Linked DNA regions of Styela clava. The protein of the gene in region 2 interacts with the protein of the main gene of each other region in a biochemical or structural test. Links are inferred from orthologs where the notes say so. Each region holds a gene or a part of one and is shown on either strand. Other genes may lie near its edges.

What was found. The genes of interacting proteins can lie anywhere in the genome.
Region 1: the proteins of PRKCA-binding protein-like (region 2) and metabotropic glutamate receptor 7-like form a complex in vitro, tested with the Homo sapiens proteins (2 studies listed by BioGRID, with this or other methods). The link is inferred for Styela clava from reciprocal best matches to the Homo sapiens genes PICK1 and GRM7.

What each region holds. Positions count from the first base shown.
Region 1 is NC_135259.1:13,246,280-13,253,475, reverse strand, and holds the start of metabotropic glutamate receptor 7-like, read right to left. Parts: upstream 3,001-7,196; 5' UTR 2,781-3,000; coding exon 2,729-2,780; intron 1,254-2,728; coding exon 1,207-1,253; intron 737-1,206; coding exon 587-736; intron 1-586. UniProt on the Homo sapiens protein: G-protein coupled receptor activated by glutamate that regulates axon outgrowth through the MAPK-cAMP-PKA signaling pathway during neuronal development.
Region 2 is NC_135258.1:21,925,693-21,933,300, reverse strand, and holds PRKCA-binding protein-like, read right to left. Parts: upstream 2,942-7,608; 5' UTR 2,462-2,941; coding exon 1,295-2,461; 3' UTR 517-1,294; downstream 1-516. Other genes in the region: DNA/RNA-binding protein KIN17-like, read right to left, coding at 1-151, 354-473. UniProt on the Homo sapiens protein: Probable adapter protein that bind to and organize the subcellular localization of a variety of membrane proteins containing some PDZ recognition sequence.

The DNA.
Region 1 (7,196 bases), on a different chromosome or scaffold from region 2:
GACAAAACGGCGTTTCAAAGAACCACGACCGCACTTCTGAGGCGTGTAACAAGGTTAAACTCGAGATAACACGCTGCTGATATCACGATAAAAATAATCAGGTTGAAAATGAAAAAAAAAGATGTCAAAAGATGGATTATTATACAGAAACTATTGTTGTCAAAATCAAACGGTTTCAAATTTGAATTGCAAAATGTGCTCTATGTATACGAAGCGGTATAAAAACGTACAGAAAAAAAGCAACGTTTGACGTGCAACTTTGCTCGAAAACGTCTTTGAAACAACACCGAGTATTATACAGAGGTGAATCTGTATGTTAAACAGAATTTAAACTACAAGATACCGTCTTAAATGCTATTAATAAAGGGCGGAACAAATACTAATATATAAATATTAGTAATGAGAATTACAATTTAGAATTCTGACGGCATTTTAAAAAATACCATTCGACTAAAATAATGTTTTTTAGCGTTTTCAATAAAACCAAATCTTCTGGCAAAATAAATTATGATGATTATCCTCTAAGCTGGTTTTTAACGTGATTTTTAACAAATATTGAGTAATTTTTTTTACAAAGAACACATACCTCGTCAATAATCATGTTCATTGTTTCTACCAGATACATTCCTGTCAATTCTTCTACACAATCTCCATTGGCATTTTCATTCGTGACTTGCATTGCAGCGCCGAGTATAATATCGCCATCTCTAAATTGCATTGGTGCACCAGATCGTGACTGAAAGAAAATTAAAAATTTGGTTATTGTGGATGGAATCATAGTTTATCGGAGGAGAAATGTACATATGGATCATTTGCTAAATTGTTGTTGTTATCCGTTGTTGTTGTTGTTTTGAAAACCACTTCTCACGGCGACTACAGAACCAACTGATTCAAAATTTTTAGTCTTTAGAGATGAAAGAAGTCGCTAGAAAGCTATCACTTTTATGTTTTCCTACGGGTTTTCACCCATTTCAACCATACTTTTGCCGTTTCATTTCAATTATATGGCAAATGGAAAAACTTTTATGATACATTTAACCTTTAACCCTGTTCGTTAACCTCATTTTATTTTAGATATTTTGCGCTGTCCCACCTATCTTTTATTCTATAAGTCATGTATACAAACCAATATATCCTATACCAATATCGCTGGGATTAATGATGGCAATAAAACTTTGTAAATATTGTAAATAAATATAAGCTCACCTGCTTCATGTGCTGGCTTCCAATCAGATGTTCAGCGCTTTGGCTCGCTGTAAATAAAAGTAACGTTCAAGAATTACATAATTACTCCTAATCTAAACATTTAATCAGTCATGTACAATATGAATCAGTCAAGATCTATTTTACTGTACATTTGTCTCTACTCTGTTAATCATAAACCATGCATGGGCATGTCATAATGAAACGCTCTTCCTCATTTACTTGGCAAGCTTGTTTAAACAAACAGTGGATGACGTTGTGTAATTTATCTACGCGATATGTACGGATCAGTCTTGATTGTATGAATAATTAGTCCATTATATAAACAGCAAAGTTATTCAACTTCGTCGTGGATTGGTGATTATAACAACCGTATGAAACATAGTTGCTCGGAGCTATAGTTATAAACTTTTACATTGAATGAAGTTTTATAGTATAAGTGAGGTTTCGTTCTTGCTGAAAACAGCACAAAAGATTAATGGTATGTTGGTATATATAGTTTGGTAACAAATGGCTGAGAGAATAAACACGATTTTGTTTATGTACAGTTGTACGCACAGTGCTATCATCTTCAGATGTCAGTAAATTTGCAAATTTTATTACAGTATATAAACACATATTGTATTTGTTATTTTTTCTACGCATACTACATAAACTACATCTCATTTGCTTATACATTAAATGATTAAACTTTAATGATTAATGATTAAAGAATATTCTATTAATCATAGCGTGTTTTCCAGATATTTCTATTTTTAGTATGTAAAAAGGTTAGAAACAGAACATTTTTGCGTATGGAGTTTAAAGAAAGAGCATTATAAAATACATTAGCTTGTAGCAAATGTTTAAGTTTATCAATCAGAGCAATGTAGTATGAGTATCTTTCTTATAAACGTAGTCATTGTGATCGACAAAGAGGATGAAATTTTTATATTTATCTGGGTACTCTCGTCTCAATACATTTTAGGTTGAGTATGGGTACAGTTTGCTAGTTACTTGTTTTATATGTATGGACTATGGTGGTAGAAGAAGCCGCGGTTGAGTGAACCATTCTAAAACGGCATTGGGACCTATACGAACCGCGCAAGGTAATCATCGGTTCGGTGATCATATCTCAGCGATCTGTTGGTCAGACCAACGGTACCGTAAAAGATTTATTACTACATCGTTTTGGCCTTTGTGTTCATATGTTTGAGCACGATTCTTTTGTTTTAAGTATGTTTGCATTTTAGTTAGTAATCTGAATTTTTTTTGCTTATTCAAGTAGAGCAGAATAGACCGCGCTCGTTGCTAAATAGTATTAATACTATTCAATTATTTGTGGTATATAAGTATTGCCTCGCTGTTGAGAATACTATCATATTATTCCAAAATTGAATAATTGATTGTTATCTTGGGAATACGTAATACGCATCTTCAAATATTCACACACAAATATGACATTTCGACACAAACCGTTTTGTTTCCTAACCCGATAACAGCGAGTTTGGGCACATTAGCTTAAAATAAAAAAAAATTGACTCACCTACAAAGACAAAACAAAACAATGTCCGTGATAAAACTGACATAATTGACATTTCTGCAGTCAAATAATTTGCCAATTCAATAATTCCTCCTTTTTGTTCATTTGCAGTCTACTCAGTTACAACCTACAGTTTGTATCATTTATAATTGATGTCGTAAAATTTTGAAGCTTGTGCGTTGATAATCTGTTTCCCAGTAATCATGTCGTTTTCGCATAATTTATTTTTGAATAATAATACTTTAAACTTTGACAACAACGAACAAAATAAAAATATATTCACTGAATTGGATTTTATGCATGTTTACTATTACTTTGAAACACGTATTTTGCGAAAAAGGTAAAATTTACCATAGATCATAGCTATCATTCATTATCAGCGAACAACATTCTGAGAACAACAACTAATTTTTCAGCTTGGGTTGACAATTGCTAATGAATTAGCGAGCTCGTCAAATTTGAGTGACATTAATAATATTATTAACCAATATTCAGTTTGTTGTATATCTGAGTTACATCGACTCAATAGCCATAATTCGTAATTATAGTGCGTTACTATGCTAAACTTCAACATTTTAAAAATTTGCACAACTTATCACCGCCATCATTTTCACAAAAATAATGTGAGAGATCAATTTTTCGTTTCAGATGAACGAACTTTGTGATAGATTGATTGCGCGCTAAAAGGTTGCTAAAGTTGACAAAAAGGAAAAATGGGCATGTGCAAATCGACAATATTGCCTTAAATTTTCTTGTCTTTCTACAGACATTTTCACTAAATGATCAGGGCAGTCGAATATATTTTGACATAATTACTAAATAAATGCTCAGTTGCGTGTGTTGCTGAATATTTTGAGTCACTGACTCTTCCATATCCGTATGTTCATTAATAATTTCAAATTTTGATCGCACAAAAGTGTGTTTCCGCATAAAAATATTATTTCTATATTTTCATTATATAGTAATCTATGCGTCACTCATTTTAATCCTGCTAAAAAATAATATACAGTAGTAGTTGCACTCATGACCTGACTGAATATATTTATTTTTAACCTGCATCTGAATTCCAGTCTGCATTTAATGTATAATGGTTTGAGGGCCTTCCAGGTAAAAACAACGCGATGCAAGAGACCGAATCGGGTTACGTCTATCTAGCACTATCAAAGCGCTCGTAAAGTTTACCAAAAATTCAAATCTCTACAAAATAGTAAACTTTCTAGTATAGATGTCTGAATTTAAATTCTCGACTTCCCTATACTGATCAGAGACAGTTCAACTTCGTTTAACAATATTTTTCATACGATTTCAAAATGTTTTCGTATCTTAACTCCCTGAGGATATTAATGTATTTTGACTTGGGGCAATTGACTTCCGTATACTTGGAAGTCATCATTGCTAGGTAATTCTATCTTTCGTGGGCATTCTATCAGAAAGTAATTTTCTCTCAACAGTTCTGGTTTGAACATCGACGAAAAGACCATGGCCTGATATTTGAGAGATATACCAACTCCTTTAAGGTAATTGTCAAATTGACTCAATTTTACGATAAAAATATTTTATTTGTTTTCATAGGAAAAGTTAAAAGTAAACTCTTACAGTAGCGAAAATATTGAGTGAAATATTGTATACAAATTTAGTCATCAGGCGAAAGAATATCTCGATCTATATCCAAAGATATCTAATCCAGATCCCATGCATAGAAAACAATTATCTGGTTAATGATATCATAACTGGACTGCTAGAAAGAAGCGTTGAAGACCGTTGTTCGTCTTATACAAGGGGTCATCTGATTGAAATGATTACTTTTTCCGACAACATATAAAAGTTATATTTAGAATCCCAATTTTAAATAATCATTGCTTATCGGGCAAACAGGTTACGAGTGAAATTTAATTAATTATTATCTCTAATGCTTCAAAACATATTCAAGATATATCCTCATAAAGTTTCCTCCATCTTTTTAACAATTTGACTTCGTATACAGAAATTAATTTTCAATTAATGAATAAATCGTAATGATTAATTAAAATCAAAACTATCGTCTTCATATATTTGATTCGGCCGTCAGTTGTTTTACTTAATAATAGCATTTGCTGTAATGACGCGCTTCCGCTTTACTGCCCATTCAGACGCACGTTAGCAAGAATATCATGTAAAATATTACAAGCTAAAACTAATACAAAAAACTACCGGTCGAATTATTCTTGTTTCATTGCTTACAATTTATTACTCGCTTTCCTTCAAATAATCCGACTTGAATTTAAACTCATTTATTGAATCTCGCATTTTTTTTTAAATATTAGCGATATCTCAATTCCGTGGAAAAAAATCATAATAAGCATGGTATAAGTTTAAAATTCAGCAAAGGCTTTACCGAAGGCCCAAGTAAAACAATTTATCTGAGGGTATATAAAATAACGAGGCTAACTTGGTTTTTATTATTTATGCTACAAGCCCATATACAGTAAATCAAATTCTCATCTCTACATTATAACTACATACCGTCAACTTAAAAAATTGTATTATCATTTCCAGCTGAATATATAACTAGACAACGTTGCTTGCCAGTGAAGATTAAGATAATCAATTATTTATATTTTGTTAACTGTTCAAATGAGCAGCAGGCAATAAAGTTTATATACTCATCACACGTTTTAAAACCTTCCATATATATTTGCTTCTTGTATAATTTGTGAGTCATGGCGTTGCTCAATGCTTCATCAGGAGACTTCCATTTTTAGTTAACAAAATGTGTTAGATAAAGTTGCATTTATAGGTCATTTCTAAAGTAGTATACCACTTTGTTCGTTTATCAGTGCAAAGCAAATAGGATAATTTTTTGTAAGGTGGTGACAAATAATCATTCATTTACATAAGTAAAAATGAAATATTACAGTATCATTTTTATGTCATTGACTCAACAAATGTTATTGCTCCCGTTTGTCTTGAACAATCAGTACAACAGCGCCATATAACGACCAACTTTTTTATTACGTCAAATTCGTTCTTATTTATACCTTTTTGCCTGGATATTGCCATTCTTACCGTAATATGAACATTTGACTTTTGATCGTATTCGAGGATTTGAACTTCTGATCATATTTGTTAGTGAAATAAAAATATCTCCTTCTATCTAATTTTGTTTTATGAAAACTAAAACCGATGATTCTGGGGGAACATAAAATAAATTACAGAAGATGATATATATTTTTGGGTAAAAACTTGGTAAATTCTACTGTACCGCAATTATTGAAAAAACAAAACACTGTCATGTCCTGAATTTTAAACTGGTCGTTTGTTTCTTAAATTTGGAGGCCGAGTCAAGTGAAGCAAATGAGAAATTGGAATCAAAATGAACATCGTTCATATTCCATCTTGTTTGTAAAGAAGTCTTAGAGCGAATTATCGTTTTTACCTCAAATATAAACTATTCAATTCCACCGATATTAAGTGTAGAATGTACATATTTATGGATAAAAGGTTTTAGTGTGTCATAACAGTGAAATGTAGGAAATATAACGCAATTATTTATAAATTTATGATCAGTATATGAGGAAGAGTGATGTTTTATCGTGCATAAGAAAATACTGTATCAAAAATGCCATTTTGAAACAGCAAATGTTTATTTGTAACATATATTGTCATTTAGAAACGTTGTTGCATCGGGACAGCGTCCGAGACTTGCGTTTATACTTCAATTTTTGCCTGATATTCGCTACACGTAGCCTTATGTATTCCGCACGTTGAAGACATCACAAATGTGATCATGGGTGAAACGTTCCGCGTTGTCGATTTCAAATAAAATAAAATTCAAACCTGGGTTACGTAGTAACATGTCAATACCTAGCCAAAACATGTTGAACTAAATTGAGAAGGACCAAATCATGTTATGGTATATAGCGGGTTTCATTTTTGAACACGACCCAAGTCCAAACACGACACTACAACTAGTCAACTCAAAAACAGATTCGGACTCAGGAAATCACTTCAACCAATCATTTCTACTCGAGGTTGGGATGGTAATATTGTAAGATTTGGGTAATGCTAAATTTGGTTATTGTCTAAAAACTTGCAGCGCATACGAATCTTGAAACCTTGATTACGGCTTCCTCCGCCATAAAATCCATGCATCTAAAAACAAAAAATAACTGGCTAACTAATCCCATACACAACATAGACTGATAACAGGACGAGAGATCGTGGCTCATCAGATGATTGAGTCGTCTTAATTAACGGCTTTCCTCTCCCCGGGGATAAATATGTGAATCCAATGCTATCTATACTATTGAGCATACTTTAAATCAGGAACTTCTCTTATCTATAATAGTTGAGTTCCACACTTTTTTATATTTAATATTAAGTCCCCGCCCGTACACCGCCTCATGCACGCCCTGTAGTCGTACAGTAACAATTTCATGGGACTGCAGTTACTACATCCATATATGTATTTTCGCGTTTTCCGTTGAAACTA
Region 2 (7,608 bases):
CTCTTCTAGTGTTGAAACGACGCTTCAATAACTCCATAAACTCTTTCAAAAATTCATTTGAAAAATGGTCATTGAAGGCACCTGGTTTCTCTGCAACCAGCAATAGTTGTCTTTGATGAGATTCTGACATGCAATGACATTTGAAACCATTCTGTCATGACAATATATCATGTTATTCAGAGTTTTGAGCTACTAGTTATGTTAGGATGGCATATTAGAATAGCTTATTAGTTAGAACTAACTCATTAGATGTAGGTTCAAAGTCTGATGTCATGGCAAAGCAAATAGAAAAAGTGGATAGAGAGATAATAGTATGAAAAGAATATATTTAAGACATATTTTTTGAAACCTACCTCATCTCTGCATTGCTTCTGGCACATTTGACAATACCATCGTAATTTTTGCAAACCTTTCGATTTAATGCGATTTGCGATAGCCTTGGGAGTTAAAAATCCACCTTTTTCTTTTCCCATTATAAATAATAGGTGCAGTATTAATTAGTAAGTTAATAAAATACTAAAAGAAAACAACATACAATTTACAGCATCTTATATCTTAATCAAGGACAAGTAATTGCACATAATCACCAACCATACAATACATGCACAATAAATGGGAAAACATAGAACTTAGCATGCAATTCATCGTTCAGCACAATTCATCTTCATTAGAATCATTACTATGTATCGGGATTTGATTTATATTGACAAAAACGATTAAAGCAGCCATGAATTTCAAGTATTATTCATTTAATATTTTGAAATTAATCATACAGAGTGAAACATCACACTGCGTTTGATGTATAAAATGAACATAATTCACCATTTGATTTAACAGTACTAGTTTAAATGAAATAACAAAATCTCTTCTTAAAGTATACATACCATTTGGCAACAAAATTTTAATCAGACACATTCAAAAAAATGAAAACTTCAGACAAAATGAGCACAATATTGAAGACACATTGTTTTACATTTCATAATTTATATATTCAATAAAAGAAAACTTCCAAAACTATCTTATGCAGTAAAATTCTACGCAAAGATAGCAGATGAAATAAAAAGCAAAAATTCACATTAAATGCACATGTAAATTGAAAAAGGTTATTGCTTCAATAGAATAAATAGTTTGAGGTCCAATCTATATGGATACGAAGAATTAGCAGACAAAACTACAAAACGGTCCTAATAAAAATTCTCAGATTTTACACAGGGAGTACTTCCTTTGTTTTTTTGATATTCCGGTCAAATTGACCTGTAATATGCACTAGAATTGTTGACAATTAACATCGTTTTCATTCTAAAGTCTCTTCATATTCCGGATCGTGGAATCGGTCTTTTTTATCATATTCGAACGTTGCACTCGACAAGTCAACTTCTACTGGAAATACATCAGCTTGTTTCATACTTGCTTGACAGTCATCATGATACTTTGAAATAGCAGCAACAAATCTTTGCAGCTGATGGACGATATCTTGTACATGTTTGTTGTCCAGTAATTCTAGCTTTTCCATAACATCTTTTCGAAGTTTGGCAAACCGCTCTCGAGCATCTTGGCGACATCGCAAAACTAAGCGATATTCATAATTTCCTGTTTCAACGCGATAAAGTGGTTCCTGTAATGCAGCATAACTATATTCCTCGTCATCCATTTCCTTCACCTTGAGACAAAACGACAAGTACTCAAATTTTGTGTCTGCATAGCGCCTGATTGTCATTTTCGTATCCGGAATAGCTTTGTTGAGATATGTATTCAAATCATTCAACATTGGTTTTAAAGTTGTCATCAAAGTGAAGCCAGACTTTTCAAAATTACGATGAGCTTCGCTAAACTTCCCGAAAGCCTCACCTCCGTTAAAGTTTGGATCACGTACACCAATCTCACCAAAAATATCTCCGAATGCACGGTGAGTTTTACACAAATTAAAATAAGATTTTAGAAGTTTCTTTATGTGAACAATGAGCCCAAGATATACTCCACCAATCTGTTCCATTTCCTGAAGTCTCTTAATCAAAACATCATTGCATAAAATTGCACGACTTAATCCAAGTGCATCTGCTGTACTTGAATCCATTTGTTCAACAATTCGGTGCTTTATCTTTTTCAGAACAATATCCAATGTTTTGCCTTGTTTAGGATCTGCATGTAGTTTATTAAAGTTGATTCGGACTTCACCCTTTATGCTTTGTATTGTTTTAGCCAACTGAACCTTTGATAGCCCTTTGACTGATTTGCTATTTACAGCAACAATTTCATCACCTGCAGCCAAAGATCCATCCTTTGCAGCTGGTGTATTATCGAATACTTGTACAATATAAAGACATGGACATAAGGGTGCACCTCCGCCAATGCTTATTCCAATCAAATTTTGCTTATCTTTCATGAGCTTGACTGTACCAGAAACAGTGGTCATTCCCATCTTATCCTCTTCTATTCCCCATTCTTCCATGGCGTGAGACATCTGGGCATTGAATAGACAAATTGGTAGTATGGATATCGGTCAGTATTTCGTTTACAACTGTTTTCTCAAATTCTAGAAATGAATAATTAGATAATTCAACAAAATCAAAAATCCTACCGCACTAATCGAAGGGCAGAAACCATAAGCAGTCACCACTGGCAGGCTGGGGATCTGAGTTTCAAATATTTTATTTTCTAAGCGAATATTTCCGAAACCGATTCTGTTTAGTATGGTACAAAATCACATTATCATTAACTTTTTTTAAATTTGGAAGAACTACCGTACAGTACAAATTGTGATTAAATAACAATAATGAACTTGAAGAATGAGTAAAGTTAGTAGAAGAAAACATTGAATTGACAGATTGATGCTTCAACTTCATAATATATTAGAGAATATTTATTTCTGTTACAAGGTGTAAACTCAGTTATATTTACGATACTTATTACTGTATTGCATAAATTTATGTTCGCAAACAATACTGCATTAGTACGTGATTTTAAAGAATGCAAATGATAACGAGTAGGCTAACCATCGCAGACCTACCGTACTATGTTTTTAAGGAGGAATAATTGGGATTAGCTAACACTTCAGCTGCACATCGAACGAATGACGTCAACAAAAGCCAGCTCCGTCAATCATGTTTAATCAACCATGACGACAGGAAATCATGCCCTCGTTCGGGAAAGGGCAGGATTTGCAATTTACATATTTATTCAGGGGGCAAGAAAGCCTATAATCATATGGCCACGGCTTCTCGTCCGGAAAACCGTAATCGACCAGCGGTTACGTAAACCACCCTACGTCGGCGTGGAGTCCAGAAATCTTCTCGCACAGCAGTACCTGAGGTCCAAGCACATATATTTGCAGTTATATAGATAGATAGTTTATTCGAATACTCCACAATATACACAAATTTAAAATGGAGAATTCTGGAGGGTGAGCGAAACATTTAAAAAAGTTCAAAACATGCGAAATATCATGTGCCCTCCCACCAGCACATACACAAAAATAAATTACAAAAAACACAAGCCTAGTTAAAACAAGGCTTAGGCCAGAAATAATCAAACAAAAGATACTCGAATGTATAGGAACTTCCGGGCTGTTATACTTTTGAAACACCTAATCTATTACAGTAATAATGGCCAATTCAATATGTACCGTAGCCTATATGTCAGCAATACGCTGTTAATTATTAAATGTTTATTTTGCCCCATCCCGTAGCAGCCGAATGTCATGTACGGTCGTTGAATGTTTGTATGTTGATCCCTTTAAAAAAACATTATCCGCAATACCTTTCCATAAATTTTCTTTATTCTCTTTACACCTTGTGAATGATCTGTTTCATACTGCAGCCGAACTTGATCATCAGTGACCGTCAACACCAATTTGTTCATCACACTGTGATTCACAGTGTTCCATTTCACGTCAAAAATCCAGTTGTTTCAGTCTGCCCAAGGTGTGCAGGATATTAATTGGAGGGTCTTGCCAATGTTATGTGTTCACTCACCTAATAATATGAATGCACCTGTCTGTGTGACTTCTAAAACGTTCACTGCTACGTCGGAGTGTAAACGGATTTTTCAAAAAATGCTAAAGATTTTCTTGATTCATTGGTTGAGCTTGGCTGGGATGATTTTCCAACTTTGTGCATTGCATAATGTGTATTACTCACAATTGGCTATACTCAATTGATAGTTGCACGCGATCTTTCTCAAAGTTCTGATAAAAATATATATATATATTCGAGGTATTCGATGTCAAGTTTATCTTTGATTAGTACCGAAATTCGAAAGAGTCTTTCATTCAGACATTTGTTGACAGCAAAGTAGCGATTGCACATAGAAATAAGTGACTTGCTTTTTGTTAATAAATGAGTTCGATTTTATACAGTGAGTTTTTTGCTTAGTTTGATGATTTGTTTAATAAAACGAACGTTTCTGTCTTACCTGACCTTCAATTTATTTATTCTCACGTGTAACGACGTCTATAATCTCTTTATACACCGAAACATTTTTTAAAAGTTAAGTAGGGAAAGGTGGGCCACCGTGGGGCAACCAGCTCTCACACTCTTATTATATTTGGAATCAGGTCTGCGGTTCGATGTTTGAATCAGCCCTTCGGTGAGTTACAACGTCCCCGCAAACGGACAACGGTAGTGTATAGCGACGCAAACTATGAGATGAGGTTGGTTTTGGGAGTTTGAAACTAAAATTTCACCATTTTAGTTTTGTCTTTTTTCTACTTTAGCCTTTCCAACATGACAAACAACCGTCTGATATTTTTCAGCTTTGTTACAATGTAAAATATTCATGACGTTGGCTAATGGATGAGCCGTCCTAATTTGCTTATGGAATTTTATGAAAGCATATATATATATGAAATATTTTGGTTGATCATTGACTTTTAAAAGTATTATCAGAAACTCGCCCCGGGCAGCAGAAAAGTTTGGCATGCTCATGTATGGAGGTAACTAATTTTGTTCGCCTACTTTACATCAAGTTGTGTAAAGGGATGGAAGCCTATGGGCAGGGTTCATTTCATTCAGTTGGCTTATAGCAACTAACCCCCAAATGTACCCCATTTCATGTTAAAAATATGAAAACAAAGTTAATTTTTCTCAAAATTCGAACCAAGACTTTCGTAGGAATCAAATTACACCAGTTTTAAGAACATAACAGGTTCCATCCAGTCATTATCAAATTAAAATCTATATTCTCAAGACCTTTGGCACTGATTGAAATAATTATATCTAAGTTCCCATCCGTACGATGTACCTAATTACCCTTGTTGAGATAATAGGAATTTCTGTTTATAACGTGAATCACGAGCTCACGTTTACAGCATTTAATTGGATTTATGATCAACGTATAAATACGACTCCGATATCTTTCGATAGGAGAGAGAAGACGATGTAAACCATTCTAAGCTAGTCTGGATAAATGTTATAAGATTTATATTCTGTGTATCGTGGAAATCTGAGAATAAAATCAAATAGAATCTACCCTATATACTATAAATGGTGACAAAACCGACTTGAATTAACCATCTGAAACGAACCAGATCAACGGATTTCAACCACAAGTACGGACAACAATCAGGACAGGCAACAATTTGACGGAATCAACCAAAAAGCTGACCAAGCGAAAGCTTTCAACAATTGCCGAGAAACCGTCTATACAAAACGTGCGAACTTACGAATGTCGGGGAGATTCAAATTGCCTGGAACAACAATTGAAGTATCAAATTGCTATCAAGCCAAAATAATCAAGAACATTATGAAACGACAATAAACTCAATTGAAAACTGTTAAACTATAGTGACGGACTCTGGAAACGTTAAAATTATGAATATGGACTGTATTGAACATCGATCGAAATGAACTCTTTTAGAACATGATATATGTTCGAGGTGAAAAACCTAATCAAAAAACGAACTGTTTAAAACAATGAACAATATATGGACTGTTTTACGGTAAATTACGCGCTCTATTCCGAACAATAGAGAAATTGTCGCGCGTACCCAATCGATATACAGATCAGGAGCATGTCATTCTACAATTTGTTTCATGATTTTCAGGTTTTTCTTCTCATTGAGACAGACATTTTTCATTCTTCCACTAATACTAAGGTAAAGTACCGTACTTCTTTTTCTTATATATACATGGCGTTTCATTCGACTTTTAATTTTTATAAATTAATTAATGGTAACAACTTTGAATATTCTGATTTCAAATACCTTTCAAAATATTTATATTATTGAAAATTTGCGGTTAGCATTCCTTTTTCGATTAATAGATTTCATTGGGATTAAAATGCTTTCTAAAAGTAGATTCGAGCGAGTCATACTTTTAATTATTTACAAAGCCGTCATATAGAACGGTTAAATAATAAGCTCGTTAAACAAAAATTGTATCCAAAAGCGTTATTTTTTCAAAAAAGCCCTGAGATGGCATAAACTTAAAAATGCGTTTTTTCTTCCCGACATGGGACAAGCATATATTGACCAACTAGGTCTACTAAATCGTAACAATGCGATAAAGCGAGTATAAGCATTTTAACTTAGCGAAATACATTGAATTGAAAATATGTTTTAACCGTCCAAACCAAAATTTTTCAAATATAAATACGCCATCTTTCTGTAATTCTACATTACAGCCTTTACTCTTTCTATAAACTCTTCTTTACTTCAATGTCTTGTCTCATTGTAGATCATATACATGTAAATATTTTTTTTGACCTATATCATTAATTTTAGCATTGTGTATTGTATTTTTCTATATATTTTCAATTTATTAGAGTTGCCAAATCTTGAAACTTCCAGTTAGTAAGATGGGGAGATAATATAGCAACTAACCCCCAAATGTACCCCATTTCATGTTAAAAATATGAAAACAAAGTTAATTTTTCTCAAAATTCGAACCAAGACTTTCGTAGGAATCAAATTACACCAGTTTTAAGAACATAACAGGTTCCATCCAGTCATTATCAAATTAAAATCTATATTCTCAAGACCTTTGGCACTGATTGAAATAATTATATCTAAGTTCCCATCCGTACGATGTACCTAATTACCCTTGTTGAGATAATAGGAATTTCTGTTTATAACGTGAATCACGAGCTCACGTTTACAGCATTTAATTGGATTTATGATCAACGTATAAATACGACTCCGATATCTTTCGATAGGAGAGAGAAGACGATGTAAACCATTCTAAGCTAGTCTGGATAAATGTTATAAGATTTATATTCTGTGTATCGTGGAAATCTGAGAATAAAATCAAACAGAATTTACCCATTATTTATGCTATAGGCTAACATAAACAGTCCCCGAACTCGTAATGGAACTAAAATAAGGAAAATCGGCATAAAATTATGGCCTAACCCTAATCTGGTACACATACTACGGTAGTACCGAACTCCAAATTTACCATAAATTCGTGAAGGAATTAGGCTACAGTTACATGTAAACAAACCAATATAAGAAAATAAATTCCCATAAGGCAAATGTTAATTTACCACAACTATTGCCTGTCTTTGTGCGACATAAACAGTTGGGAGTTCAGGTATGATTACTGGTTTGTGAATAATTATTCACTCTGAATCATTCGAATCTCAGTTTCAACGAGTCACATATACAGTTTACAA